7 linked regions of the Oryctolagus cuniculus genome follow. The protein of the gene in region 1 interacts with the protein of each later gene in a pairwise test. Links are inferred from orthologs where the notes say so. Each region holds a gene or a part of one and is shown in the gene's direction. Other genes may lie near its edges. The genes, in order: TRIM27, KCTD9, NEDD9, POLE2, ABCF3, UBE2D4 and TRIM29.

Region 1 (4,689 bases):
CTGGCATTGTGGCACAGCAGTTTAAGCTGCCAGCATCCCATATGGATGCTGATTCATGTCCCAGCTGCTCTACTTCTGATCCATCTCCCTGCTAATCTGCCTGGGCAAAGCAGTGGAAGATGGTCCAACTGTTTGAGCCCCCGCAACCACATGGGAGACCTGGAAGAAGCTCTTGGCTCCTGGCTTCAGCCTGGCCCAGCCCTTGCTGTTGCGCCTGTTTGGAGAGCGAAGCAGCAGATGAAATATCTGTCTCTGTCCCTGTCTCTTTGAGAAAGAACTCTGGCTTTCAAATAAATAAATAAATCTGTAAAAATAAAAAGTAGTCTTCCCCTCCCCCAACACCTTCCCGGTTGTTCCAGGATCATTTATTGAACTTTTAGAGCCAATCTGATTTTTCCTCTACATGATACCAAATTCTTACCAACATTTTAGTCTATTTCTCAATTTCCATTCTGTCCCATCGATCTGTCAGCTTATTCTTACTTTAAGCACTGTACCTTTGCGGCATTCCTATTATTTTTTCAGCCAGATGAGAAGAGAGATAAGAGAGGAGAGAAGCTGCACAAATATGCATAAATACCTTAGGTCTAATGGACTCTCCGAACAGTATGGCCCCGCCCAATATTTCTACGTTTTTTGTAAGTGGGCTAGGGTTACTGGGGTCTGGAATTTCACAGACTGGGTACTCAGAGTGTGGTTCAGAGGACGTGGGCTTGGGGTTGGCATGTCCACTTCGCCTCTCGGATCCCTCCAAACAGAAGTTCCGGAAGCAGAGGCCCTACTGCTGAGACCCAAAACCACACTGAGAAAAATCCCAAGGAAACCAGCAAATACCAAGTAGGGATGACGGGAAATCCACTGTGTGATAAGAGAACAGACAGCCCGGGATTCCAAGACCCCGGGGCACTGTGGGATTCGCACTCTGAACTTCAGAAAGGAACAAGAGGTTTTCAGGTGCCGCTCAATACAACAACCCTACGCCGTGGGTATTTTGCGGTTTTCACGGATAAACATCCTTACGGCTCAAAAATTAAACGATTAAGTCTACCTTCTTGCTGAGGTATACCGATTCTGAGGCTCAGAATGGTAAAACACCTTGCATGAGCAGAGATAGGGAGTAGCAGAACTAGGCTCGCGGTTTTTCTCCCTGCGGAAATGTTTCAGAATGATAAATACACCCATTTTTCCCCCTAAACAAAACGGCGAGCGGCAGCAAATGATGGCTCTGCTTAACAAAGTGCGTCACGTACCGGATGCAGCTCAGTTTGCAGCCCCATCCGCTAGCCTCAGGGCCTGCGCTTCCCAGTCCTACACAAAGCCAGCCCTCTCTGGCAAGGGCTAAGGCCTGAGCGCCCAAAGAAAACCTCACAAAAGACCAGGGGTCCTCAGCGCCCGGTTCGGAGGTCCCGTCCCGACCCGTCCCGCCCTGGGGCGCGCGCCCAGCCAAGCCGCCCTCCGCGGCAGGAAACAGCTAGGCCCCGAGGCCAAGAACCGCAAGCCCCGCCCCACGCCGCCCCGCCTCTTCCGGTCGCGCCGGGGCGGGGTCTCCGCGGCCTGCGGGATCCGCTTGGACGCAGCCACGTTGTCCTGCGCGCCTGGCGCGCCTGCCCCTGTGAATCCGGCCCGAGGCGCTGCGCGCCTGGCCCCCCTACCCGCGTAGCCGCGGGGCTCCGTCGGGAGGCAGCCTTCCGGGCCTCGTTCAAAGGGTACAACAGGGCAGCGAGCTGCCCGGCCGCCGGAGCCTCCCAGGGAATCCGGGCCCGAGGGGCACCGCCCTCCGCCCGCCCGGCTCGAGCAGCGACCCGGAGAGAGCGCCGGAGAGTCGGGCTCCGCGCAGAGCTCGGCGCCGGGGGCCCATGCCCGTGCGCCCCCGCCAGCCCGCGCCATGGCCTCCGGGAGCGTGGCCGAGTGCCTGCAGCAGGAGACCACCTGCCCCGTGTGCCTGCAGTACTTCGTCGAGCCCATGATGCTCGACTGTGGCCACAACATCTGTTGCGCGTGCCTCGCCCGCTGCTGGGGCTCGGCCGAGACGAACGTGTCGTGCCCGCAGTGCCGAGAGACTTTTCCGCAGCGGCACATGCGGCCCAACCGGCACCTGGCCAACGTGACCCAGCTGGTGAAGCAGCTGCGCACCGAGAGGCCGTCCGGGCCCGGCGGCGAGATGGGCGTGTGCGAGAAGCACCGCGAGCCGCTGAAGCTGTACTGCGAGGAGGACCAGATGCCCATCTGTGTGGTGTGCGACCGCTCCCGCGAGCACCGCGGCCACAGCGTGCTGCCGCTCGAGGAGGCGGTGGAGGGCTTCAAGGTGAGGGCCCCCCCCGGCGCGCGCGCAGCGAGGCGGACAAAGGGAGGGGAGAGCCACGGGGGCTTCCCCTTTTTTTCCTTGCCTAGAAAATGGCTGAGCCGGACGTGTGGTTCACAGCCGTCATTTCCTCTCTGTCCGCTCCCGAGCCTCCGCACTCGGATTTGGAGGAAAACCTGTAGCTGCTGGGGAAGCCAGAAGTCGCCCCACCCCACCCCCACTCCTATCCCTGTGTTTCCCAGATCTCGGACGCTATGGACATAAAGACGTTCCCTGGAGCCCTTCCCCCACCCCCACCCGCAAACCCGACACCCTACAAGATGTGCATAAAGCTGTGTACACATCAATAGGCTCCTGAGACACTCTGCTCCCAAATTATAGAGGAAACCCGCTCGGACGGTGACCGCGGTGTCCGAGTCATCCGGCAGATGCCCGTCACTTAGTCTGTAAGCACTTCTTGTAAACCGTCTTGTTCTAGAAGCTCATGGAAAGGAACACATTTCTCCACTGCTTGAGTAAGGCATTTCGCCATCCTGAGACACGGGAGATAACAGGTATTATGATTAAGGGGATAAGAAGTGCAAAGCCTTTTGCAAACTGTTGAACCGACTGCGGCAGCAAAACAATAACACGGAAACAAAGTATCACGTGCAAAAGAGTTTTAAGGAGACATTCCAGGCGTCCTTGATGTTGTCTGTTTGCTATGTGTTTGAGGGCTACAGGATTATACCCACAGTTTTGTCCGTGTTTAAAAGTGAATGCATTTCTGCATAGTCACCTAACATGGAGCTTTTAACTGCATCATTTCACCTGCTCTCCTTGTAACTGGAATAGGCTGGGAAAGTGGTATTTACCCGTCACACATGAGGAGAATTAGAGAAGTTGCTTCATTTTCTCAGTGGACCTCTGTGGAAGGTCTACAACTTGACTTTAAATCTCCTAGTCCAGTCACCCTAATGCTAAACTGGGTAGAGGATTCATTTAAGAAATGCACACATTGCCATAGAAGAGAGGTGGTGGCCCCTGTGCTTTGAGTCTTCTGTGGATGGTAGTGTGGTCTGAACACAGGCTCGCACCAGGCACCTGGCATCAGAATTGTAGTTTCTGTCTGTGGGGAAGCAAAACAGCCATGGTTATACTATGGCCTGCCCAACTTTTTTTTTTTTTTTTTTTTTCAGGAACAAATCCAGAACCAGCTGGACCATCTAAAAAGGGTGAAAGACTTAAAAAAGAGGCGCCGGGCGCAGGGGGAGCAGGCACGCGCTGAACTCCTGGTAAGGGCTTTTGGAATTCCCAGATAATAGCGCTTTTGCTGGTCCGTGCTTCTGTCAAGCCAACTTGCTCAGTTCTTCCAGTTGCAAGTGAAACAACCCCATGTGGCAGTGGAAACTTAACCTGGAGAACCAAGGGGCTCCCCTACTTTTGGGGAGAGGGTGGAGGAGCTGTGCTTGGGAGTCATAGATACCTGCTGGATCAGTAAAGTTTAGCTTGTTAGCTGCTTGTGGGCCAGGACTGATGTTTGGCAGACTTGAGATAGGTGAAATTCTTGAGAATAGTTAGCTGGCATCCTGTGGTGCACTATCCTTCTCACAGGTGCTGGTGATGGATTTGTGTCAGCCCCACTGGTTGACTTTCTGGAGTGTTCATTCCCCTTTCTAAACAGAGTTTTTCGCTCTGTTTTCTTTGAGCAGTCTTCCAAGGCTTTGGCAGGAACCTGATGTGCTAATTCTGATATGGGTATTTTGGAGTTTTGTTTTAGAAAAACAAAAAGTACAGAGGGTTTTATCATATACACTTACATATTTACCACCTAAGTGTTTACAATGTGAGTGGAATAGATAAAATGTTACAGACCTCTAACCATTAGAGGTGTTTGCATCTGAAAAGCAAACTCCTAGACTAGCAGTGTCTGGAATCTTGAGAGAAATTGTGTCAGTTCTAAGTTGTGTCCCTTCTAAGCAGGGAGCTCATTCCTAAGGTGTCCTTAGATTCCACCACTTGCTCTGCCCACACAATCTGCTGAGACCACAGTTCCCCTTACTTTCAAAAGAGATTTCATGGATGAAGAATATTCTTCATGAACCTGAGTCCACTTCAATCATAGTGCACACAAAAATTGTCTTCTGGGCAGGATTGTCAACAAGGAGACACAGCCGTTCTCTGAAATCCGGCCACCTGGATGTGCGTCTTGGCTCTCATACTAGCCATTTGATTATCACACTTCACCTGGGAAATGGGTAGGTTGGGGGGCTGGCATTATGGCAGAGTGGGTAAGGTGACTGGGGAGGGTAGAATGGGGGTGCTACATGTCCTGTTATGTGAAAAACAGCCCCATGCTAAACAACATTGTCCCAGCCAGCATGCCAGTGGCAAGCCCCTTGAGAAAC
Region 2 (4,046 bases), on another chromosome or scaffold:
TTCAGCAACATTTAAAGTTTTTGTTCATCTAGAATTACTGAGTATCTCATGCAAAATTTATTGAAATCATAATGAAGTTGGCTGGTAAAACTGCCAGATAACATGCCAAACAGCTGGAGGGCTGTTTTCCTTTCAATTGCATGTTTAAACAAATTGGAATTCCAGAGCAGTGTTCAGTTACTCAGATCACAGATGCAGTTCCAGATTTGATTTCCTGTCTCCTTTTCCTTGGTTCTTCCCCAAGTAGAGAAGTTTGATATTTTATTACTCTGATTTACTATATTTTTCATAATTTTTAATTTGAAACAAAATTAAACAGGCCAGATTATTTCCTGAACTACTTGAAACCTTTATGTATTTTCTTAGAAAGTGAGAGAGAGGGCCCGCGCTGCGGCTCACTAGGCTAATCCTCTGCTTGCGGCGCCGGCACACCGGGTTCTAGTCCCGGTCGGGGCGCCGGATTCTGTCCCGGTTGCCCCCCTTCCAGGCCAGCTCTCTGCTGTGGCCTGGGACCAGGATAAGCACCTGGCTCCTGCCATCGGATCAGCGCGTTGCGCTGGCCGCGGCGGCCACTGGAGGGTGAACCAACGGCAAAGAAGACCTTTCTCTCTGTCTCTCTCTCTCACTGTCCACTCTGCCTGTCCAAAAAAAAAAAAAAAAAAAGAGAGCGATATCATGCTATCTGCTAGTTCATTCCTCAAATGCCTGCAGTAGCCCAGGCTGGGCTGGGCCGAACTGGAAGCCCAGAACTCCATTTGGGCGGCAGAGATCCAAGTACCAGGGCCATCACCACTGCCTCTCAGAATATGCATTAGCATTAGTAGGCAGCTGGACTTGGCACCCAAGGCTTCTATCTGCTGGTTCACTCCCCAAATTCCCACAGCAGCCGGGGCTGGGCCATTCCGAAGTCAGGAGCCATGAAATCAGTCTGGGTCTTCCACATGAGGGGCAGGGACTCAAGCACTTGAGCCATCACTTGCTGCCTTCCAGGGTGCGAATTACTAGGAATGCTGGAATAGGAAGTGGAGCCAGGACTCAAGCTGAGGTATTCTGGTATGGAATGTGGGTGTCCCAAGCAGTAGCTTAATCTGCTGAGCCTTTTTTTAAGTGCAGAACCAAACTCCCACCCCTGTCCAGTCATCTTTTTAATAAGAATTATATTCTATATGTCTTCTTGATGTGTGAATGTAGCTAGCAGACTTGAAAGATGTTGATAGATCTATATCAACAGTGTCCAATAGCACTTTCTGCCATAAGGGACATATTCTATTCCTCTCCTGGTTGGCATGTTGGTTACTACCACATATAGTTATTGAGCTGTATTTCATTTTAAATAAGGCAAAAAGAACTAGCCTAAGGCTGATAGTATACTGCTATTATGAATGTAATTGTTTAGTTGTTTATTACTTGTTATTATACCTAAGGTCGTATTTTTTCCCTTGATTTCAGCTACCATGTATTCAATATGGTTAAGAAGCAAAAGTCTCTGTTCAGCTGACTGCAAAGATTGATAAAGTTGCTTGTTAAGGGGTAGCTGTTGACATTTGTCCTCTTAAAAGATTATACATAATCACTCTTCTTCAGCCATTACCACCACCATCCCTGGGGACTTCACCAGATTCTTCATCTCATCTTAATGCTGTGATTTGGAAAAAAATTAACAAATACCTCCTGTTTGTGTATTAGACTGTTGTGTCCCTTTGTCAAAACTCATTGATTCGTACACATAAATTTGGGATTAAACAACAGCAACAAAAAAAGGCAGTCCCTTGCTATAAAAATGTTAGGGGTAGGGAATAGAAAACTCTATTGTACAATTTAATTACTAGGTACATTTCCTTTCAATAGCTTTCCCCCTTGTCATGCCTTTTGTTCTTGTTCTTGTTCTTGGATTGTGGTAAAATTATTTAGATAATACTTAATTGCACCAATATCCACTCTGCATTTTAAATGCCTGATTCTAAAATACATGAACAGAAGGGACACACTTCATCTTTAATCTTTGCATTTGTGGCCATCTGCCCGAGCACCACCTTGGTTGACAAATTCCTGTGCTAATAGAAGAAAATCTGACTTTAGGGTATATGTCAGAAATTTTCCAGAAATTAACTGAGTTTCATTCTATCAGAATGTTGTCTTAATATCTCACAGACATAATTTTGAGAAGAAACAGGTAAGAATATAAGTCTTCATGCTAGTTATGTGAATATGTTTCTGTCTTATAGAATTGTGATCTGTCTGGGTGTGATCTTCAAGAAGCCAACTTGAGAGGCTCCAATGTGAAGGGAGCTATATTTGAAGAGATGCTGACACCACTACATATGTCACAAAGCGTCAGATGAGGATTTCAGGGGCTGGAGGAAGATGTCCTAGATGAAAGATGTTTTCCTTATCACTTTTCTTTCTGTACCCACTCAGTTGTCTAGAAGAGATAGCACTGTAAGGGAATTTTAAAACCATTTAGACAGTTATGCTTGTTCTCAACGGTGCATAAGGGAAAAAAATTACTCTTTTTTCCACATTCTGATTTTAACAGAAAAGCACTCATTTAATAGATGTAGGGAAATTAGATTGCATTGCTGCCTTTTGAGTGGGATAGGGAGAGTTGCCTGGTTGTATGACCAGGAATAATATCTATTATATTTGCTTTTAAATAGGCATGATGTGGAAATGCCATCTTGGTTTGAGATGCATTTGAGGATTTTAATTTATGAAAAGCACAACATATGCAATTATATTTATTGAATACCTAGATGCAGTATGGATATTTAAATTGTTAAATTTTATGAAAACTTTGAAAAGGTTGTTCAGGTTTATAAATAGCTTTAGTGATGCCTCCCTCTTTAAATACCTGTCACATCATATGAATATGGTGAGATCAGATTCCCTAAGGCTCTCTTTTCAGGTTCATTTTTATGATGTTTACTTTTAGAACAAAATAGTAGCTAATTTAAAGGAATATTCCATTCTTACTGGTTAAGACAGAGTGGAAGGAAAGATACCATTGTACATCATTAACATTCTGAAAGTATATTGGAACACCCCAGATGAAGGAAGAATTTACCAATAGCCTCAGCTTTTAAATAAGCATTCCTTAGAATTTCATTCTAGACAAGTTCCACTCAACACCAGACCAGGCAATTCTATTTACACTACTAGTCTAGTTTTTTTTCATGTACAATCAACAGAATCATAGGAAGAAGATACTTCAAAAACCAAAAAACCAAGGTGCATCATTAATATTCATTTAATTCAAATACAAAATAGACAGGATCAGCTTAGAAATATACTGCAATCAAGAATACTGCAGCCAAAGCTATAAAATATGAGTGAGTATTGCAGGGACACGTTTTAGAAGGCAAAAGGCTTAAGCCAGCATGGGGAATGCAGTATTCTTAACTATCAGTTACATAATAGCTGCCCCCAAAATTTAATAAGTAAAAATAAAGGCATTTGGCTGGTCCATGATATAATTCTAGTCACTCCAGTGAGCATCTGTGGTTCTTTTACTTATATTTTCTTATTTTTTGTTTGTTTTTAACAAATTTTAGTCCATTTTTCTTGAATCGTTCTCTCTGCAGCAACAGAGATTGGGACAGTCCTTGCCCATCAATAACCCTGTGTCCATAGGTCTAGCCCAGGAATAGGAATATAAGCTGTATCCAAATGGATTCTGAATTCTACAGACTCATCACCTTGAGGCAATGAATCATTTAAAACCACTTTTGTCTCCTTTGGGAGAATGACATATCTTCAGTATTTGCGTAGCTTATTCTTCTATATCTACATATGCAAAGCTTTCCTGAACAGTAAGGGTACATATGCATAGTGGGAGGAAATCAGACCTTTACAGGCGAAGGAAAGCAACTTTTAGAAATGAAATATTTTCTTTGCTTTATTATTTTTATCAAGACAGAGAAGTATTGTATTGAGAGATATCTATTTTCATAATCAGTATGTGCCTAAATTATATTTAAATCATTTCACTCAGTACTATATTTTCAATAATTATAGAATGTGTTATCCATTCATTTAAGGGTACCTCT
Region 3 (4,477 bases), about 5.1 Mb from region 1:
AGCTCCAAGTGGGAAAAGAAGCCATGAGCATGCAGATGGAAGAACAGAATTGAGAATAATCAAATTGTCTAACTCAAGTACTTTATATAAAAGAAACCTAAGATGAGGGTTTTTTTTTTTTTTAAGTATGAGAGGACATCAAAATGTCCCTGGAACATGCATAATGATGAAAAAAGCTAGGCATGAACTTCAAAACATTTTCCACCAAAATATACTTACCTTTTAATTCCACTTTTCCATGAATCTTTGAAAATACCTTCACAGATATACTGTGTCAGTGACTTACGGAGAGAACCTGATGGTGTTAATATTTGAATCCTATAAAATTGAAGGGCAGGCAGTTGGTTGAAATGCTGGTTAGGATGCCTGTGTCCCACATCAGAGTGTCTGGGCTCAGTTCCAGATTCTGGTTCCTGATTCTAGTTTTCTGCTGATGCAGACGCTGGGAGGCAGTGTTGATGGCTTAAGTAACTGGGTTTCTGTTTCCCACATGACACACCTGGATTGAGGTGCTGGCTTCTGGCTTCAGACCCAATCCAGCCCCAGGCTTTGCAGGCATTTGGGAAAGTGAACCAGCAGATAGGAGCTCTCTATGTCTGTTTATCCATCTCTTTCCTTCTCTGTTTGCCCTCCTCTCTCTCTCCCCGCTTACATCTCCCAAATAAATAAAAAGAAATTTGAAAAACTTGTAAATTATTTTTACATTTAAATGCATTTAAATTAGACATAAGGTTCAAACGTCTGACAATCCCCTACCTGATATAGTATAATGAGAAATGTGTAGAAGTTTTTGAAAAACAAAAACATGTACTATCCAGACTTCCTTTCTACCTCCATCAATTTATTATAAATATTGCACTATAAAATAAAAACTCAGGAATAGAACAATTCCACCTCACATCTGCAATAGTTCCTGATACATAACATGTATTCAAGAATGGTTTTATAAAGGAGAGGGAAGGGGAAGAAAAAAGAAAACAGAGCACCTTGATGAATATTTCTTTTTTATTCTTTTTTTTTTTTTTTGACAGGCAGAGTGGACAGTGAGAGAGAGAGAGACAGAGAGAGACAGAGAGAAAGGTTTTCCTTTACCGTTGGTTCACCCTCCAATGGCCGCTGCGGCTGGCGCACCACGCTGATCCGAAGCCAGGAGTCAGGTGCTTCTCCTGGTCTCCCATGGGGGCAGGGCCCGAGCACTTGGGCCATCCTCCACTGCACTCCCGGGCCACAGCAGAGAGCTGGACTGGAAGAGGGGCAACCGGGACAGAATCCGGTGCCCCGACCAGGACTAGAACCTGGTGTGCCGGCGCCGCTAGGCGGAGGATTAGCCTAGTGAGCTGCGGTGCCGGCTGATGAATATTTCTAACTGCATTTATGAATGAACTATCTGCATGATGATTAATATAAATGTTCTTGTGATTGATGACTTCATAAGACCCAACCATACAAAGTATTGAGTGTTTATTTCTTTATTTAGCTGTGTCATCCTTTTATAGGTAGAATATTTTTAGCGATATTCATACTAGTTCAAACATTTTCAAATACATGACCTGGAAGCAGATATTTGGCCTACCAGCTAAGATGCCCATGTACCACATCGCAGTCCCTGAGGTCAACACTGATGTTAGCTCCTGACTCCTGAGAGGCAGCAGGTGATGGATGACTCCAGTAGTTAGATTCCTGCCAGTCGTGCTATAGCCCTGCCACTCAGCTGGACTGAGTCGCCAGCTCCCAGTTTCAGTTTGGCCCAGTCCTGGCTTTTATATGGATTTGAGTAATGAACCAGCACACAGGAACTCTCTATGTCTATCTATCCATCTCTTTCTACCTCCCAATGAATTTTCAAAACTTATGAAGTATATGACATGCAATGAATTTCAGAGAATCCTTATAGGAAATTAAAACAACATCATCAATGAAACAGAAGTCACAGGAGAGCAACATACAGCATGAGCCTAGTTTGATATGGTGAGACCAAGGGGCAGCCCTTTCCTTGCCTTGGTGATGAAACAGGCACACTGGGTCATTTTGGAAACAAACATCTGTTGTTCAGATTATCTCTCTTTCCTCTCAACTCTCTATACTCCACATCATTTCCTGGGCATCAGCAAGGACTGGAAAATAAGAAAGGGAAAGAATAAAGCGGAGATCTCAGCTGACAACAACTAATTTACCACTAATAACTCTAACCTACACTGTCATCCACATAGTGCTTATTTTATTTGTGCCAGACACTCTTTGCATGTTTTACACGTCCTCACTCATTTAAATCTCATGATACTTTTACTGGTGTTCCCATTTTACAGAAAGGAAACTGAGGCAAGAGCAGTTAAGGGGGAGACTGTAATTCAAACCTGGGTGTTTGCTGTCAGAGTCTGCCCACCTGTCTGCTACTCAAAAGCACAGATAGAAGACGACCAATGGATTGGGGCCAGGTGGCTTTCAAACTCTCTTCCATGTACACAAATCCAGGCTTCCATGCACCCTGCAAATAGGAGCCTCCTCACTTGGGTGCCTTGCCCCTAGCATTGGCCTGTGCAGTGCACATACTTGTCATATGAAAGAATGCTTCATGTCAATTTATAGTGGATTCTTTGGAACATACCAAGTCCATAAAAGCACAAAATCCCAAATTGGTTGATTTTGAAACAGCCTAATTTTGCCTCAATGCAGCCCAGCCACTTAGAAAAATACGTCCCAGTAGAATTTGATTGCAATACTAATTTGAAGATCATCAATCTTTCTATACTCATATACACAGCTAGTGGGCCAGATACGAATGAAATTTCTTACCTGTCCCTAAACTGCAACACGCCCTCAGTGTACTGCAAGGGCTCATTTGAAAAAAAAAAAATCAGCCCCAGAGAGGAAATGAGCTGCCACAACATCGCTTCACAGCAACCGGAAGGAAAAACACACACAGGCGTACGCCACTCACATCCTACGTATGCGGTTGCTCAGTGGGGAAATGCTTACAGACAGCTGCCTTGAGAAGCCAACCGGGGTGCTGCAGCGAGAGAAGTAGAATCGTGCAGCAGGACTGGCTCTCCTCTTCTGCCAGCCCATAGAGAAGACAAGAGCACCAGGGAGCAGAGAGATAATCCGCCACCCAGACTTCTGCCCTTGGGTGAGTTCTCAGCCACTTGCTGTGGCCTGGGGTGGGAGTGCAGGGAGCTCACCCCGACTCTGACTTCCTGAGTTGGTGTCAGACAGCTGGGGGTGTTCCCCACTGTTAACACCTCTGAGCTGGGGATGAGAGGGCTTCAACAATTCCAGTAGATGAATCATTGACTCCAGGTCTCCTTCAAATTGACCTGGACGAGCTGGTTTTAATGCTACTTTAAACCCGCAAGATTTCTACTTTGCAAATCATCCTGGGTTGGTGCTTCCTGGTGTGTGAATGCCTGGCCCCTCCCCGCTTCCTGCTGACCTAGGAGAGTCTACCTGTGTAGAACCAAGCTTCTACGTGTTCTACATTATTCCAGTGCTCAAGGTTTTCACTTACACTTTATAGTGCATTAGAATCATTTACATCACTTTTAGCCTTTCTGGGGAGCAAGAAATGGTGACCGAGAATTGGGTTCTGTGCCTGTGGCCCTGTCCTGTAGAGAAATGGTTATCAGCACCACCTTTACGGGACCAGAGACATACTGTACTATGGTTCTCACTGGCTACCTGATAGCTCCACCCCTACTTTTCTCTGCCTTTATTCATTTCACTCATTCAGTCATTCATTCAACTGGCTTTCTTCCTCAAAAAATTTGTGACAATTTTTTTTTTATGATGAAATGGCTTCAAAACAAAGACCAAGTACAAACCTAGGTGGAGGTAGTGAGCAATCTTCTCCCTGTGTTATCAGTGACAGCTGAGAATGGGGGCCCTAGCCTGTTTAGCCCCTGCTTGGGGAATGCCCTTCTTTGCCACCCAGAATTGGGTGTGAAAAGAAATTGTCCAAAATTCTTGGAACCTGTCAAATGGGTTTCTCCCTGGTGTCATTTCCTTCCAAGCTTATTATTTTCAAGGTCATTCTCACTGTAAGAAAGGGGCAAAGTGGAGTAATGGAACGTGAAGGATATGTAGTCAGTCTTGAATTAGAGCTCCACTTTGTGTTAACGACTTCGTTCGTTTAACAACGATCTAGAGAATTCTCATCCTGTGAAAATACTTTGTAAGTCAACACCTATGGAAGAGAGACCAAAACTGATGCTGCTGTGTTCCTAATATAAGCTACAGTCCAAAGGAGCAACAGGCATTAACCAATAATCTAGAGGAGGAAAAACTGCCTCAGTTTGTCTTTGTGGGTTCACTGATTGGATGGTCTGTGAATTAAGCTGACATAAGATAGACTAACAAGAGAAAAAACTTAAATTACATTTGTATGAATGGGGGTTCCACAAAAATATGAAACACAGAGAAGTGTTTGTGTTTGATGACTGAGGCTTCTGTATCAACCTGAGCTACAAAAAGGACTGGAGGT
Region 4 (4,046 bases), on another chromosome or scaffold:
TGTTTGTACCTGGTCCAGAAGATCCTGGATTTGGTTCCATCTTACCAAGGTAAGTGTGATTCAAGTATCTGCAAATCTAGAAAGTTTTATAAAATTGTAAAAATACGTTCTGTAGTAAATAACTTGTTTTCACAGGCCGCCACTTGCTGACAGCATCACTAATGAATTCAGACAGAGAGTACCATTTTCAGTTTTTACCACTAATCCTTGCAGGTAAATAACAGCATATTTTAAGCTTTTTTCCTTTCATTTAAAATATAAAAAAAAAATTCTTTTTTTTTTTTTTTTTTGTGATGTTTTTATTGGGGCAAGGACACAGGGCGGGAAAGGGTACCCCTCGCAGGTGCAGGGAATGTCCGTGCTTGTCAGTCTTCCTGGGATGCTTTATGGAGCTTTTTTTTTTTCTTGGCACTGCTCTTGCTGGGGGCGGCCTCCTCAGGCCCTTCCTCCTTGGCGGACTATTTCCTCTTTTTCTTGGGGACCTTCCTGGTGCCCGTCTCTTCCACATCATTCACAAAAATTCTAATATCTGATTTTTGACTGTTAATGAATAAAACCAAAAGGAAAATTCCTTTTATCTACTTTAGGTTTCCTGAAACTTGAACATAGTTTAACTATATTAAGTAATTCACTAATAATGATGTTGATGCTTGAGTGATTGGATGAGTGGTGTAAAAATACTCTCCTTATGTGTCCTTTAAGCACAGTTACAGTGGAAGCATGAAGATTGCATAGTCACTGGTTGTGGTCATCACGTCATCATAGGCTTTTACCGAGGGAACACCCTAAGGGTCAGTCTTTGGTTCATTCTTTCCTGCCTATCTTCACTCCTTCAGGGAGTTTATCTACTCCTGTAGCTTTAAATGCCATCTCAGTATTGGCAGCTGTCACATTTCTGTCTCCAGCACAGACCTTTCTCCAGCCTTTGTGTCTCACTGCACACCCCGCAGCTTCTTGAGTGTCTAGTAGACACCTTGACCATGAACTTCTGATCTTCCTCCTCCGCCAGCACCGCGTTTACCAGCCTGTTGCATCCTAGTCCATGGCACCTTTTGTCTTCCAGTTTGGATGTTTTTCCTCACATGCAGTTTCTCAACAAGTCCTGTCGACTTGAAAATATTCGCAGAATCCGGCCACTCGTCTCTGCCTCGCGCTCTGTGACCAGCTGCCTGGAGTGCTGTGAAGCCTCCTACCCAGTCTCTTCCTTCTACCCCTTCCCCTCCGCACTCTGTTCTCGCCATCGTCGGAGTGAGGGCGGCAGCGCGCTCCCTCCCTGGCCCCGAGAGCGGTCGTTCAGTAGCAGCCCACGTCCTTGCAGTGCGCAGCAAGGCCTTGCGTTCCCTGCCCCCGTCAGCTCTGTCTCCCCCTCCAACCCTTTGCTCCCTCCGCCCTGCCTCCCTCTGGCCCTCCAGCGTGCCGGGCGTGCTCCAGCCTTCGGGCTTCCGTGTTCTCCCTCTGATCTGGGCCTGAGGAAGCCCTCGCACCAGTGAGCACGTGGCTCACTCATCCTCCTCACTGTAAGCCCTGCCTCCATTTTCATCCCAATACCCCAAGCTGCTGCACGTCCCCCGTCCCCCGTCTCCCACGGGAGCCCTCCTAGCCTGTCCTTTCTTTCTCCCATTACGTAGTCATTTTCCAGCACACTGGAGAAATACCAGGTTTTTGGTTTACTTTCTCTGCCACCCCTCGTTAGATCATAAACTGCAGGAGGGCCAGGGTTTTTGTTCTGTTCGTTCACTCCTAGAACAGCGCCAGGCACATACTGAGAATTCAGTAAGGAACTGAGTTTTGCGTGATCACTTGCTACGAGCGTGGGTGGCGCTGTAGTGTGAGACATTGGCCTTTAAGATGATCTCGGCTTTCTGAGAAAGCTTCAACTGCTGTTTTCATTTCAGGATTCAGTATTGTACACAAGAAATCATTGTCTTTCGTGAAGACTTAGTGAATAAAATGTGCAGGAACTGTGTGCGTTTTCCTAGCAGCAACCTGGATATTCCTAATCACGTAAGTAACAGAGTCATCTTTGTTAAGCTGTCTTCCACGCTACTGTATGAAATTTTGTTGAGTCACGGGTAATGTGTCCTTGTGTTAGTGTTTATTTGTGGTGCAAGAGCATTTGTACACACTGCTGTGAATGCTAGCCAGGGGGTGTTTCTCAGCCTTCCACTGAAACTGTCCACTCCCGGCCAGAGAGGAGAGACAGGCACAAGCAAGATATTTTTTTGAGCTTTCTTTTTTTGCCTATAAAACCCTTAAATTGTACCTCAAAATATATTTGTTTAAATAAACTGTTTATATTTATGTTGATTACACGGATGTGTAGTATTTTATTTTGCAGTGCCAGTGGTCCCTGACCTAGAAGGGTACTTGAAAAATTTTGTGGAAAAACTGAATTCAAAGATAAGTTGATTTTGGTGCAAAACAAATCTAAAATCTCTGACTTGTCTTTTCGTGACACACACTTGCCATAAAATTCTGAAGACTCCCTCCCCCATCATAGAGCTGTCAACCCCTGCCTACGTGTGGACATCTAAGAAGTGTGGGATTAGAGCCTGTGGAACATTTTCATCATTCCTTTCATAATATTTCATTTACATAGCCTGAATATTGATCCTTGGTTTCACCCAAGCTATGAAGTTATTTTTCAATCAACAGAATTAATAAAATAGTTTATTGTACAGCTACAAATACAACTGATCCAGTATGACTCCTGAGGGAGTTGTTTTCATGGCTCACAGTATTAAATGAAAACCCTAGACCCTTGTCCCTAAAATAGAAGATATTTCCTTTCACTTGATACCAGTGTTTCCCAAAGTGCTCTGGTTCGAAGCTTTCCTAATTGTTTCTCAATTTTCCATGTTCTGTTGGTAATTAATATTCATTTGAATTCTTTGGCTATTTTCATGTTTACAAATTAACTGCAGTTTGTTTTCTTTCATAGTTTGTAAAGACTCTGTTATCCCAAGGCCATCTGACCCCACTACCTCTTTACGTCAGCCCGGTGTACTGGGCGTATGATTATACTCTGAGAGTGTATCCGGTGCCTGATCTACTTGTCATCGCAGACAAATATGACCCTTTCACTGTGACCAATACTGGATGCCTCTGCATAAACCCTGTAAGAATGTGCTTAACCTGGGATAGTTGTTATTTGTCAAGATTTGAGAACATTTCTTTCCATTTAAAAAATACTTAATGAAAGTATTGTTGGAGTAAAAACATGCAATTAATGAAACACTGAAGTGATATACACAGAAAATTCCTTACATTACTTTTAGTAAAGTATGACTATGTGACTGTAAAATGACTCTAGAAAAATGCATCTACATGAGTATTTTCCCCTTCAACGTAGCTTATAATGGGATACCTTTAATTTTTACATGGAAACTTTATTTCATAATGTTAAAGCCATTGGGAATTTCTACTGAAATATGACCGACTGAGCAAATACTTCATAAGCAGTGATAAAACACAGTTGTTTATGTCAAACATAGTAATACTTTCACAAGTCAGGTTTTTTTTTTTAAGATTTATTTATTTATTTGTAAGACAGTTACAGAGTGGGAGGGAGAGGCAGAGAGAGAGAGAGAGATCTTCCACCTATTAGTTTACTCCCAAATGACTGCAATGACCAGTGCTGGGCCAGGCTGAAGACAGAAGCCAAGAGCTTCTTCCAGGTCTCCTATGTGAGTGCAGGGACCCAAATACATGGGCCATTTTCTTCTGCTTTCCCAGGTGTGTTACCTGGGAGCTGGTTTGGAAGTGGAGCAGCCGGGTTTTGAACTGGTGCCCATATGAGATACCGGCACTGCAGGCGGCTGCTTAACCTGCTGGGCCACAGCACTGGCCCTTTACCAGTGATTTTTAATTTTCATGCCTCCTTGACTTGTGAACACAAGAGTTTAATACATCTTTCTTCTGGGTCATTCCTAGAAACACCATGCCCTGTTTATTATTTATTACTTTTTTCTTTGTAACATGTATTTTGGTTACTGCTTTTGTCAAACATATTTTGTCTGCCTATCTCTGAAATGGGACTTATCAAC
Region 5 (3,520 bases), on another chromosome or scaffold:
GATTGAGGCAGACAAGGCACCTGCCAGGTATTTAAAAGTTTCCCTGCCTTCCAGTTTGACTTTCCCCTCCTGTGAGTTGTTCCAGCGGGGTTCTCTGATGTCTTCACTTCTAGGGCATCGGTCATTCTTGCTGGGCTCGGCTTCACTCCTAAAATGCAGCAGCAGCCCACCCGGTGAGTGGCTCTTGCCATTCCTGACTCTTGAGCGCCGTTGGCCCTGCCCTGATGAACACCCACCCCTGACGTGGCTCTTTCTTTAGGGAGTTCTCGGGTGGCTGGAGGATGAGACTGGCCCTAGCCCGGGCCCTGTTTGCTAGGTGAGTCTCCTGGGCCCTGTGTATGGAGCCCTGTGGACAATGGGTCTTGGCTCTTTGAGAGGTGGCATTTGAGTCCCTGACCTGCATACGACCTTATGCCATGTGTTCTTTTTCCTAGGCCGGATCTTCTGCTGTTAGATGGTGAGCCTGAAATGGATGCTCCTGACTTTGGGATGAGGAAGGGTGGTAGCGTGTAGGTTCCTAGTTCTCTAGCCCCTCAGTCACAAGGGTGTGCTCCCCACTTCTTCTCCAGAACCCACAAACATGTTGGATGTGAGGGCCATCCTATGGCTGGAGAACTACTTGCAGGTGAGGGCCTCCAGACCCTGGTGTGGGTTCCGGGCAGGTGTGCTGGTGTGGGTTCTGGGAACTGACTGCCCTCCCAAACTGGGCCTGCCATCCTGTAACCCCCTCAGACGTGGCCCTCCACAATCCTAGTCGTCTCCCACGACCGCAACTTCCTGAACGCCATCGCCACAGACATCATCCACCTGCACAGCCAGAGGTTAGACGGTTACCGCGGGGACTTCGAGACCTTCATCAAGAGCAAGCAGGAGCGGCTGCTCAACCAGCAGCGGGAGTACGAGGCCCAGCAGCAGTACCGCCAGCACATCCAGGTGTGTGGGGCTCCCACAGCGTGCATGTCAGGAGTTGGGGGTAGTGAGAGAGCCTGACCAGTGCCCGCGCTACTCCTACCTCCCTCCCCCACAGGTTTTCATTGATCGCTTTCGCTACAACGCCAACAGGGCCTCTCAAGTGCAGAGTAAACTCAAGATGCTGGAGAAGCTGTGAGTACTGTGTTCCCAGCTGGGCCCTGATCCTCATGTCCTTGTCTCTTCCCTCATTTTGCAAGCCAGCCCTCGCCCTCCCACACTAGGCCTCCGTTTGCCAGAAGCCACCTTTGCCTTCTCCTGCAGGAGAGCGGACGTTCTGTATTGCTCTTGCAGAGTTCATCTTGCCTGGGCAACCACGGATCTGCTTCCTGTCGCTGTTTGCTTACTCTGGACATTTCATTTAAACGGAGTCATAAACATATAGCCCTTTGTACCCGATTTCTTTCACTTAGCATCATGTTCTCAAAGGTCATCCATGTTGTGTTGTAGCATGGATTAGTACTTCATTTACTTTTTATGGCTAAATAATATTCCATGTGTGTGTAGGCACATTTCGTTCAGTAACTTATCAGGGGCTTGCCTCCATTTTGCTTATTATGAATAATGCCATTATGAACCTTTGTGTAAAAGTTTTTATGTGGACATATGCTTTTAATTTGCTGGAGTGCATACCCACTAGTGGGTTTTCTGTATTACTTGGTAATTCTACATTTAGCTTTTTGAGGAAGGGTCAGAGTATTTTCTAAAGGAGCCGCAGTGGTTCACATTCCTTCCAGCAACGTAGGAAATCTCCAGTTTCTCCATATCCGTGCCGCTAACTGTTCTAGTGGATGAGAAGTGATAGTTTGTTGTGGCTTTGATTTGCACTTCCTTAATGACTAATGATATTGGGCGTCAGGGATTTAATCTTGAAGTGAATGGAGCTTAAAATCATAAGGCTGAGAGCTTTGTGACGGGGGAGTATACACGTGGTCCACCCTGAATGAGGACACTCATGTTTGGCAGAGTGCAGTGGACTAGAAAAACGTCCTTCTCCATGGGTTATGTGTGGTGGGAGCGTAAGCCTTTTCTGAGTTTTCTCTGTGCAGGTGCTGTTGTGCAAGAAGAACAGATATTTATTTTTAATCTTTTTAAGGATTTACTTATTTGAAAAGCTGAGTGACACGAGGCTAGCACTGTGGCACAGCAGGTTAAGCCGCAGCCTGCAGTACTAGCATCCCACATGGGCACCTGTTCGAGTCTCGGCTGCTCCACTTCCGATCCACCCCTCTGGGAAAGCAGCAGAGCTAAAGCACTTGGGCCACCCTCCGCTGCTTTCCCAGGCTCGTTAGCAGGGAGCTGGCTCAGAAACGGAACAGCTGGGACTCAAACCAGGGCTTTGATATAGAATGCCAGCAGCACAGGCTGCAGCTTAACCACTGTGCTGCAGCACTGGCCCCAGTGGTGGTTTTTAAAGTCGTAAGTTTGTGCACCCATCTCTCCCCTCAGACCGGAGCTGAAACCCGTGGACAAGGAGTCAGAGGTCGTGATGAAGTGAGTGCTGGGCCCGAGGGACCGGTGGGAAGCTCTTGTTCCCGGCCACCTCCACGGCCCTCACCCCCGCCTCCTGCAGGTTTCCTGACGGGTTTGAAAAGTTCTCCCCGCCGATCCTGCAGCTAGATGAGGTGGATTTCTACTACGACCCTAAGCACGTCGTCTTCAGCCGTCTCTCCGTCTCTGCTGATCTCGAGTCCCGCATCTGTGTGGTACGTTTGCTGTGTCCCCGCCCCGTGAGCTGGAGCTCTGCTACCCCAGCCTTCGTCGGTACGGCTTGGCCCAGACCCGCAGGCCACAGAGGGAGGGTCTGTGTAGGGGTGGGAGAAGCCAGGGCCTGGGCTGAGGACTCCGTGTGTCGCTGTTGCCGGTGCCCTTCAGAGACGCTGAGCCTGGTCGTGCAGCACTTGATGGATTCTTAGAGCTGTACCTCCTCTTACTGCTCTCAGGTCTGAGTTCTTTAAACCGTGGGGCTTCAAGGGTGTGGCCTGGCCTTGAGGGTCAGACTGCGCATCCTGACTGCTGTTTCCTAGCTCAGTTACCAGGCAGCTCCCTCATCCTTAAATGGACATGACGTCTGCCTCGCTTGGTTGTTGGGAGCAGTCAGTCCCCAGCACTTAGCAGGTACTCGGGTATTGGTTCCCTTTCTGGCTTTACTTCGTTTCTGCACAGTTCCTTGAAACTGTGATGTTGCTTGTTGAGGCGGTCATTGGGACAGGCCGGGACACCGTCTCGCATCGGTCCCTTCTGTGGTGCGCACACGCGTACTCCAGCAGCTCGCGTTTCCGCAGGTTGGGGAGAATGGAGCTGGGAAGTCCACCATGCTGAAGCTGCTCATGGGGGACCTGGCACCCGTCCGAGGCATCAGACACGCTCACAGGTCAGCCTCCCTGCCTGCCTGCGGATGCTGCCTACAGACCTTCGTGGTCGTTGCTTTCCATGCCCTTTCGCCTTCATTTCTGTCTGTAGGAATCTGAAGATTGGTTATTTCAGCCAGCACCACGTGGAGCAGCTGGACCTGAACGTCAGTGCTGTGGAACTGCTGGCGCGCAAATTT
Region 6 (4,046 bases), on another chromosome or scaffold:
AGGAGGGGGATGGGGGATGAGCAGGGGTCAGACAGGAGGGGGATGGGGTGAGCAGGGGTCAGACAGGAGGGGGATGGGGTGAGCAGGGGTCAGACAGGAGGGGGATGGGGTGAGCAGGGGTCAGACAGGAGGGGGATGGGGATGAGCAGGAGTCACACAGGAGGGGGATGGGGATGAGCAGGAGTCACACAGGAGGGGGATGGGAGTGAGCAGGAGTCAGACAGGAGGGGGATGGGAGTGAGCAGGAGTCAGACAGGAGGGGGATGTGGGGTGAGCAGGGGTCAGACAGGAGGGGGATGGGGTGAGCAGGGGTCAGACAGGAGGGGGATGGGAGTGAGCAGGAGTCAGACAGGAGGGGGATGGGGATGAGCAGGGGTCACACAGGAGGGGGATGGGGATGAGCAGGAGTCACACAGGAGGGGGATGGGGGTGAGCAGGAGTCAGACAGGAGGGGGATGGGGTGAGCAGGGGTCAGACAGGAGGGGGATGGGGTGAGCAGGGGTCAGACAGGAGGGGGATGGGGATGAGCAGGAGTCACACAGGAGGGGGATGGGAGTGAGCAGGAGTCAGACAGGAGGGGGATGGGGGATGAGCAGGGGTCAGACAGGAGGGGGATGGGGGTGAGCAGGGGTCACACAGGAGGGGGATGGGGGGTGAGCAGGAGTCAGGAGGGGGATGTGGGGTGAGCAGGGGTCACACAGGAGGGGGATGGGGGTGAGCAGGGGTCACACAGGAGGGGGATGGGGGTGAGCAGGGGTCAGACAGGAGGGGGATGGGAGTGAGCAGGAGTCAGACAGGAGGGGGATGGGGGTGAGCAGGGGTCACACAGGAGGGGGATGGGGGTGAGCAGGGGTCAGACAGGAGGGGGATGGGAGTGAGCAGGAGTCAGACAGGAGGGGGATGGGGGATGAGCAGGGGTCAGACAGGAGGGGGATGGGGATGAGCAGGAGTCACACAGGAGGGGGATGGGGGTGAGCAGGGGTCAGACAGGAGGGGGATGGGGTGAGCAGGGGTCAGACAGGAGGGGGATGGGAGTGAGCAGGAGTCAGACAGGAGGGGGATGGGGATGAGCAGGGGTCACACAGGAGGGGGATGGGGATGAGCAGGAGTCACACAGGAGGGGGATGGGGGTGAGCAGGAGTCAGACAGGAGGGGGATGGGGTGAGCAGGGGTCAGACAGGAGGGGGATGGGGTGAGCAGGGGTCAGACAGGAGGGGGATGGGGATGAGCAGGAGTCACACAGGAGGGGGATGGGAGTGAGCAGGAGTCAGACAGGAGGGGGATGGGGGATGAGCAGGGGTCAGACAGGAGGGGGATGGGGGTGAGCAGGGGTCACACAGGAGGGGGATGGGGGGTGAGCAGGAGTCAGGAGGGGGATGTGGGGTGAGCAGGGGTCACACAGGAGGGGGATGGGGGTGAGCAGGGGTCAGACAGGAGGGGGATGGGGGTGAGCAGGGGTCAGACAGGAGGGGGATGGGGGTGAGCAGGAGTCAGGAGGGGGATGGGGGTGAGCAGGGGTCAGACAGGAGGGGGATGGGGGTGAGCAGGGGTCAGACAGGAGGGGGATGGGGTGAGCAGGGGTCAGACAGGAGGGGGATGGGAGTGAGCAGGAGTCAGACAGGAGGGGGATGTGGGGTGAGCAGGGGTCAGACAGGAGGGGGATGGGGTGAGCAGGGGTCAGACAGGAGGGGGATGGGAGTGAGCAGGAGTCAGACAGGAGGGGGATGGGGATGAGCAGGGGTCACACAGGAGGGGGATGGGGATGAGCAGGAGTCACACAGGAGGGGGATGGGGTGAGCAGGGGTCAGACAGGAGGGGGATGGGGTGAGCAGGGGTCAGACAGGAGGGGGATGGGGGTGAGCAGGGGTCAGACAGGAGGGGGATGGGGGTGAGCAGGAGTCAGGAGGGGGATGTGGGGTGAGCAGGGGTCAGACAGGAGGGGGATGGGGGTGAGCAGGGGTCAGGCAGGAGGGGGATGGGGGGTGAGCAGGGGTCAGGCAGGAGGGGGATGGGGGGTGAGCAGGGGCCAGACAGGAGGGGGATGTGGGGTGAGCAGGGGTCTGGCAGGAGGGGGATGGGGGGTGAGCAGGGGCCAGACAGGAGGGGGATGGGGGGTGAGCAGAGGTTAGGCAGGAGGGGAATGGGGGGTGAGCAGGGGTCAGGGGTATGTGGGGTCTGGCAGGGGTCAGATGGGAGGGGGATGGGGGTGAGCAGGGGTCAGACAGGAGGGGGATGGGGGTGAGCAGGGGTCAGGCAGGAGGGGGATGGGGGTGAGCAGGGGTCAGGGGTAGGTGGGGTCAGGCAGGGGTCAGACAGAAGGAGGATGTGGGGTGAGCAGGGGTCAGGGGTATGTGGGGTCAGGCAGGGGTCAGACAGAAGGAGGATGTGGGGTGAGCAGGGGTCAGGGGCAGGTGGGGTCAGGCAGGGGTCAGACAGAAGGAGGATGTGGGGTGAGCAGGGGTCAGGGGTAGGTGGGGTCAGGCAGGGGTCAGACAGAAGGAAGATGTGGGGTGAGCAGGGGTCAGGGGTAGGTGGGGTCTGGCAGGGGTCAGACAGAAGGAAGATGTGGGGTAAACAGGGGTCAGGGGTATGTGGGGTCTGGCAGGGGTCAGATGGGAGGAGGAGGGGGTCAGATGGGGATGCGGGGTCAGGAGGGGGATGGGGGGTGAGCAGGGGTCAGACGGAGGGATGTGGGGTCAGATGGGAGGGGGAGGAGGTGAGAGGGGTCAGACAGGAGTGGGAGGGGGTGAGCAGGGGTCGGACGGGGAGATCGTGCAGTGGACAGTGGGCCCTGCCTCTGCAGCCCGGCTGTCTCTGCGTCTCTCGGGCACCATGGACACCGCCCAGGCACCTGTGAGTGCTGCTTCTCTGCCCTTGGGATCAGTGTCCCCTGCCCTGGCCGCGGTGCCTCTGGAGGCTGTAGTCTGTGAGCACGTGCCCCTCGCGGAGCTGTGGGCCTGCGCCGCAGCCCAGCCCCTGCGGGACCACCAGGGGGCACTGTGTCTTTGGCTGCTGTGCATCCTCACTATCTGAAACGTGCAAGGGCGTTTGAAGGCTGAGGCGACAAGGGGGTCTTCGACAGAGATAGGAACAGGAAGGCTGGGCTCCTTTGCGGGCAACATGTCGGACAGCAGCACAACCTCTGCCTAGACTGAAATTTGCAGTCTCACCAGGCTGACCAGAGTAAGCCACGCCGTTGGCAAGGGGCGGCGAGTGGGTTTTGTCTCTTGCCCTGTGGTGCCTCTGTCCCCTGCCGTAGCCCTGACTAGAGTTGTGTGTGGCCCTTTCCGCACCCTCCCTGTACTCCCAGGAGTGCTGCGCCTCCGGAGACCCAGTGTCGGTGTGAGCAGGGTGCAGGGGACTTCTGTGGTCACCCCTGCCAAGTCCCGTCAGGGTGCGGGGGCGGGGGGGGGGCAGGCACCTGCTTCCGTGCCGCTGCATCGTCCGGCTGTCGCTGTGGCGCTCTGACTGGGGTCCCTTATCTTTGCAGGTTGCTTTCACAACCAAAATCTATCACCCCAACATCAACAGCAATGGCAGCATCTGCCTCGACATCCTGCGGTCACAGTGGTCCCCGGCGCTGACCGTGTCCAAAGGTAGAGTGGCTCACAGCTGGCGTGTGTGTGTGTGTGTGTGTGTGCTGGCTGGGCAGACGAGCAGGCTCAGAGCAGTGGCTTTCCCTGACCACTCAGTGCCAGCCACCCCCGTGCCCACACGCCGGGCCCACCCAGCAGTTCTAGCAGTCGGTGCCATGAGGGGCTCCCAGTGTGGCCTGGTGTAGGCAGAATTGATTCTACTTGGACTTCCTGTCTAAAAATAAGAAAGCCAGATGTCACCTGGCCTTCGGTTCACCTCTCTGAGAAATCCAGTCTGAGGGAAGAGGTCCAAGGCCTGGCCCAGGGCCTCCACGTCAGCAGAGAAACCAGAGCAGCCAGGGCTGAGTGGGGCGAGCCCCGAATGCAGACAGCACCGTCCGTCCCGCGGAAGAAGTCGCCCCAAGAAACAAGCGGCAGGTGGAGGGGGCGTGCAGCGCTGCAGCCTCGGGC
Region 7 (4,750 bases), on another chromosome or scaffold:
GCTGGCTGCTTCTCTGGACTCTTCTGCTCATAGCCTGTTCTTGCAGGGGTGCAGGGAGGGGCATGTCCACCTGGCACACCGGGACAACGCTTCTCTCTCCTCCTCCCCACCAGACCCCTGACTTCTTAGAGAGGGGGTTTCCCACCGCAGGAATCCCCTTGAGCGCTTGGGAAACTCAGCAGTGAGTTTAGAGGAGAGGAGAGGGGTTGCGATGGGGCTGCGTGCAGAGACCTCAGTTGGGAGGGTGTCTCTGCTGAGAAGCCGGCACTCCCCACCCCAGCACCACCCCATACACCTCCTTTTAAAACTCAGCCTGCTTTGTGAGCCAGGCTCGTCTCTGCCCGTGTTCCCAGGGGCTGTTATTGCAAAGGATTAGTTGTTCAGCCTTTGGAGCGAAGGGGTGGGCGGGCGGGGGGGGGGGCAGAGCCTGACCTAGATTCAAGGGGGAGGAGGGAAACCCACTCCCCTCCACACGGCTCAGAACCTGCCTCTCCGGCCGCACCCACTGTCTGCCCTGCCCTGTCCAGCCCAGCCTGGGAGAGATGCAGCCCTGAACTTGGTGCCAGCTGGCCAGGACCCTGGCAGTGGGTCCCCATCTGGATGTGCAAGAGCTAAGGGGGTGGGGGCGGGGGCAGGGGTGGCTGGTGAGGCCTTCCTCACCTTCCTCCCAGAGGTCTGATTTGGAGGGTCACAGCCACAGGGCTCAGTGCTGCGCCGACCTGAATGCCACACCGCACTGGCCTGTTTTGGGAGGGCATCACCCATGGCCTGGCCCAGAGGGGTGGGCAGGGTTTTCCTGAGTCATGTAGTGAACCTGCTATGGAGACAGGTGAGAGCTTGGCTCTGAGGACCTAACCACATGGCCAGGCGGGGCTTGGAGCCCCTTCATTCCTGGGTCTCTGTCTTTGGGATCCAAGCAGGTTCTGACCTGCCCTGGCAGAAACCCCCAAGGTCTCTGAGCTTCCTCTTGGGGTTGCAGGGCCAGGAAAGGTTCTTGATGAATCTCAGGGGTCTGGGGTTCAAAGCCAGCCCTGGCACTTGGCTTTGACCAGTGCAGTAGAGCTTTGGCTTCCTCATCTATTAGAAAGGGGCATCCCAGCTGCTGCCTCGGGGCTCAGATACTTTGTCTGGGAAGCCCTTGGGCCAGAGGCTCATCTTCTGCAGGCTCCCAAAATCTTAACCAACTCCTTCCCTTAAGGTGAGCAGTATCCTACTGTCTGTCTCCAGGTGGTGAATCTCTGCTCCGAAATCCAGGCCCACAAATTAATAGGCTGCTTTGGCCTGTGTGACCCAATTAGTGGCCCAGTGTCCTGTGGGCCGCTGCAGACACCTACCCTGTGCCCCAGGGGCCTCCGGCCCCACCGAGCCTGCCCAGCTCCCCGCGTCCCTGGTGACAAGCACGCACTTCAGACGGAAGCAGACCGACAGGTTGCTGAGTTGGGGAAAATAATTAAGCTGGGGAGAAAAAAAATCCCACTTCTTAAAAAAAAAAAATCCAGGTTAGTTATGAATGTGTGGGGCGTGGCCCTTGTGTAATTAGCCTCTCTGCTGGCTGTGGGAGCCGCCTGCTTCTCCCCGCCCGGCCCGTTGTGCCTGGCTGCTGGCTGCTGCTCCTCCCCGCCCTGCTCCTCCTCCCCCTCCTCCTCCCGCAGGTGTGTCTCCCGGTCCTGTGGCTGCCTGCCCCACTCCCTGCCCAGGCGCCCGCCAGCAAAGTCAGCTCCCCTGCAGCCCAGAGAGCCCAACACAGCGCAGCCCAGTGCCCCGGGATGGAAGCTGCAGACGCCTCCAGGAGCAACGGGTCCACCCCAGAAGCCAGGGACTCCCGCAGCCCGCAGGGCCCCAGTGGCGGCCTGGAGAACGGCACCAAGGCCGATGGCAAGGACGCCAAGACCACCAATGGCCACAGCGGGGAGGCGGCCGAGGGCAAGGGCCTGGGCAGCGCCCTGAAGGCCGCGGAAGGAAAGAGCGCCCTGTTCTCGAGCTCTGAGTGGCGGAGGCCCATCATCCAGTTTGTGGACTCCGTGGACGACAAGGGCTCCAACTACTTCAGCATGGACTCTGCCGAAGGCCGGCGGTCACCCTACGCCGGCCTGCAGCTTGGTGCCGCCAAGAAGCCACCGGTCACCTTTGCCGAGAAGGGAGAGCTGCGTAAGTCCATCTTCTCGGAGGCCCGCAAGCCCGCCGTGTCCATCATGGAGCCGGGAGAGGGCCGCAGGAACAGCTCCCCCCGGGCCGACGCGGGCCTCCTGCTGCGGTCCAAGGCGGGCTCCGAGGAGGTGCTGTGCGACTCGTGCATCGGCAACAAGCAGAAGGCGGTCAAGTCCTGCCTGGTGTGCCAGGCCTCCTTCTGCGAGCTGCACCTCAAGCCCCACCTGGAGGGTGCCGCCTTCCGCGACCACCAGCTGCTCGAGCCCATCCGGGACTTCGAGGCCCGCAAGTGCCCCCTGCACGGCAAGACCATGGAGCTCTTCTGCCAGACCGACCAGACCTGCATCTGCTACCTCTGCATGTTCCAGGAGCACAAGAACCACAGCACCGTGACGGTGGAGGAGGCCAAGGCTGAGAAGGAGGTAACCCACGGGGCCCTGGTCACCGCCGCGGGGGTTTCCTCCAGTGCCCTTCCCACTCTGCGCCCTGGGGATGGAGGCCAAGGGTGCTGCCTCCCCACCTCCAATCCCTGAGGCCTCAGGGGACAGGGTGTTTCCCAGATGAGCCTACAGAGGTTCAGAAAAGCCTGGAGGCTTGCTCATGGTGTCGGATGAATTCGAGTGTGGCCAGAGAGCGAGACCCCGCGGTGCAGAATCCACTCCCATGCTCCACCTGCCCAGGGTACATCTTCTCCCTCCACTCCTGCCTTTTTTTTTAAGGGAGAGAGAATTCCCATCTGAGCAGATCTGGCCCCTGGGGTGAGGGAAGATGCTAGAAGGAGGGAATTGGGGGGTGGGGGGCTGGCTCTGCACCTTGCGCAGTTAGTGCGGCAGCCTGAATTTCCCCACAGCCTCCTCTGTCCTCCCCTCAGCCAGGTCCTGTGTGCTTTGTGTGTGTGACGCACGTGGACGTGCCTATCCCTGTGGACTTGTGTGTGTGTGTGTGTTGTATGCCTGTGGGTGTTAATGGAGGTGCATGGATTTTTGCATGGCTTTGTGTGTGTGACGTGTGAGTATGCTTCCACGAGTCCCGTGCCTGTGACTGTGCCTATACGTCTGTGGGCAGGAGCAGAAGCAAGTGCGGGCTTGCGGATGCGGCACACCTGGGGCAGGCATTCTGGGCGAAGGGCCCCTGCAGTGGCTGCCACTCCCTGCCCCACAGATGCCAGCCCACTCGCCCTCACGGCTCCACATCTCCCTGCGGGGGCAGCCTCCCCAGGGGCACAGCTTCCCGGCAGCCAGCGCAGGGCACTCAGAGCTTCTGCGCCCCTCACACTGGGGCTGCCCGGGATCCCTCGCTGCCCAGCTTCCTGACCACGGGTGTGCTGGGGACTCCCTCCCTGCACCTCCCGCTCGGCTGCTGGGCAGGAGGCGTGAGTTAGAGATGGGAGCAGGCTCCCAGGTCCTCTCCAGAGCCTCATTTGGCGCAGCTCCCCTGCTCTGTGACCTCAACCTGGCTTTAAGCGTTATCCTGGGAGTCAGATGGGGAGGGGCCCTGGTGCCCGTTCTGAGGGAGCTCACTTCGGGGGTCCAGACACATCGAGGGCTGGCCATCTTCATCTCCTGCAGCCATGACCTGGCAGAGGCTCAGATGGGGCGTCTGGGGACGTGGCCAAGTCCCAGTTCTTGTTTTGCCTCTAAGTAGCTGTCGGATGATGGGTTCGGCTCTTCCCTTCTCTAAGGCTCAGTTTCCCGGGACAGGAAGCCAAGGGGCGGGGCGGTGTTGGTTTTCAGATTCCTCCCCAGGAGCCCTAGAATTCTTGGAAATGACTTTGAGGGCCCCAGGGTGTGGAGGGAGCAAAGAGGTGCTCAGAGGGCTGAGGCTCCAGGTGTCCACCTGCACCGCAAGCAAGGTGAACTCTTTTTTTTTTTTTTTAAATTTTATCTATTTATTTGAAAGAGTTACACAGAGAAGAGAGGCAGAGAGAGAGAGAGAGAGAGAGAGAGAGGTCTTCCATCGGATTGTTCATTCCCCAATTGGCCACAATGGCTAGAGCTGTGCTGATCTGAAGCCAGGAGCCAGGAACTTCCTCCGGGTTGCCCACACAGGTGCAGGGACCCAAAGACGTGGGCCATCTTCCACTGCCTTCCCAGGCCACAGCAGAGAGCCAGATCAGAAGTGGAGCAGCCGGGTCTCGAACCAGCGCCCATATGGGATGCTGGCACTTCAGGCCAGGGTGTTAACCCATTGCTCCACAGCGGAGGCCCCATGGTGAACTCTTGTTGCTCTCCTGTGCAGGATTTGGCCCCAGATTTGATCTCCATCAATGCTTCAGAACAGCTTGGGTGCCCCGAGTAGGTGGATCTGGGGGGCCGGAGGGTCTTGGGCCCCAGACTCAGAGTTCATGTTCTGATGCAGGGGCTGCTGTAGGAGCCCTTGCCCTTGCGGGCTCACGATGTAGGTCAGGAGGCAGAGCCCAGGCGCATAAACAAGACTGGGGCGCCCCCACCCAGTTACGCAGAACAGCTGTAGGTAAACATCCAATTGCTGGGGACAGAATGCTGGGCCCGCAGGAGGGTCAGCAATCATCTGGGTCTCCTCCCCCACCTGCAGGTGCAGGCGTGGGCCCAGGGGAAGAGAGAAGCCCCCCCACGTCCTTGTC

Evidence for each region.
Region 2: the proteins of TRIM27 (region 1) and KCTD9 interact in binary tests that used the Homo sapiens proteins (3 or more experiments, as listed by UniProt). The two-hybrid records come from large-scale screens. The link is inferred for Oryctolagus cuniculus from reciprocal best matches to the Homo sapiens genes TRIM27 and KCTD9.
Region 3: the proteins of TRIM27 (region 1) and NEDD9 interact in binary tests that used the Homo sapiens proteins (3 or more experiments, as listed by UniProt). The two-hybrid records come from large-scale screens. The link is inferred for Oryctolagus cuniculus from reciprocal best matches to the Homo sapiens genes TRIM27 and NEDD9.
Region 4: the proteins of TRIM27 (region 1) and POLE2 interact in binary tests that used the Homo sapiens proteins (3 or more experiments, as listed by UniProt). The two-hybrid records come from large-scale screens. The link is inferred for Oryctolagus cuniculus from reciprocal best matches to the Homo sapiens genes TRIM27 and POLE2.
Region 5: the proteins of TRIM27 (region 1) and ABCF3 interact in binary tests that used the Homo sapiens proteins (3 or more experiments, as listed by UniProt). The two-hybrid records come from large-scale screens. The link is inferred for Oryctolagus cuniculus from reciprocal best matches to the Homo sapiens genes TRIM27 and ABCF3.
Region 6: the proteins of TRIM27 (region 1) and UBE2D4 interact in a two-hybrid assay, tested with the Homo sapiens proteins (2 studies listed by BioGRID and IntAct). The link is inferred for Oryctolagus cuniculus from reciprocal best matches to the Homo sapiens genes TRIM27 and UBE2D4.
Region 7: the proteins of TRIM27 (region 1) and TRIM29 interact in a two-hybrid assay, tested with the Homo sapiens proteins (2 studies listed by BioGRID and IntAct). The link is inferred for Oryctolagus cuniculus from reciprocal best matches to the Homo sapiens genes TRIM27 and TRIM29.

What each region holds. Positions count from the first base shown.
Region 1 is NC_091436.1:154,135,474-154,140,162, reverse strand, and holds the start of TRIM27 (zinc finger protein RFP), read left to right. Parts: upstream 1-1,540; 5' UTR 1,541-1,885; coding exon 1,886-2,305; intron 2,306-3,480; coding exon 3,481-3,576; intron 3,577-4,689. UniProt on the Homo sapiens protein: E3 ubiquitin-protein ligase that mediates ubiquitination of various substrates and thereby plays a role in diffent processes including proliferation, innate immunity, apoptosis, immune response or autophagy.
Region 2 is NC_091433.1:48,762,430-48,766,475, forward strand, and holds part of KCTD9 (BTB/POZ domain-containing protein KCTD9), read left to right. Parts: intron 1-2,225; coding exon 2,226-2,342; 3' UTR 2,343-4,046. UniProt on the Homo sapiens protein: Substrate-specific adapter of a BCR (BTB-CUL3-RBX1) E3 ubiquitin-protein ligase complex, which mediates the ubiquitination of target proteins, leading to their degradation by the proteasome.
Region 3 is NC_091436.1:159,198,016-159,202,492, forward strand, and holds the start of NEDD9 (enhancer of filamentation 1), read left to right. Parts: upstream 1-1,390; 5' UTR 1,391-3,127; intron 3,128-4,477. UniProt on the Homo sapiens protein: Scaffolding protein which plays a central coordinating role for tyrosine-kinase-based signaling related to cell adhesion. As a focal adhesion protein, plays a role in embryonic fibroblast migration.
Region 4 is NC_091443.1:26,401,838-26,405,883, forward strand, and holds part of POLE2 (DNA polymerase epsilon subunit 2), read left to right. Parts: coding exon 1-49; intron 50-135; coding exon 136-213; intron 214-1,895; coding exon 1,896-2,004; intron 2,005-2,941; coding exon 2,942-3,118; intron 3,119-4,046. UniProt on the Homo sapiens protein: Accessory component of the DNA polymerase epsilon complex. Participates in DNA repair and in chromosomal DNA replication.
Region 5 is NC_091435.1:93,768,752-93,772,271, forward strand, and holds part of ABCF3 (ATP-binding cassette sub-family F member 3), read left to right. Parts: coding exon 1-27; intron 28-113; coding exon 114-173; intron 174-259; coding exon 260-316; intron 317-434; coding exon 435-457; intron 458-569; coding exon 570-625; intron 626-732; coding exon 733-933; intron 934-1,027; coding exon 1,028-1,104; intron 1,105-2,418; coding exon 2,419-2,463; intron 2,464-2,542; coding exon 2,543-2,675; exon of another isoform or gene 2,676-3,087; intron 3,088-3,254; coding exon 3,255-3,343; intron 3,344-3,432; coding exon 3,433-3,520.
Region 6 is NC_091447.1:51,540,920-51,544,965, forward strand, and holds part of UBE2D4 (ubiquitin-conjugating enzyme E2 D4), read left to right. Parts: intron 1-3,490; coding exon 3,491-3,596; intron 3,597-4,046. UniProt on the Homo sapiens protein: Accepts ubiquitin from the E1 complex and catalyzes its covalent attachment to other proteins. In vitro able to promote polyubiquitination using all 7 ubiquitin Lys residues, but may prefer 'Lys-11' and 'Lys-48'-linked polyubiquitination.
Region 7 is NC_091432.1:112,618,027-112,622,776, reverse strand, and holds the start of TRIM29 (tripartite motif-containing protein 29), read left to right. Parts: upstream 1-1,642; 5' UTR 1,643-1,766; coding exon 1,767-2,570; intron 2,571-4,750.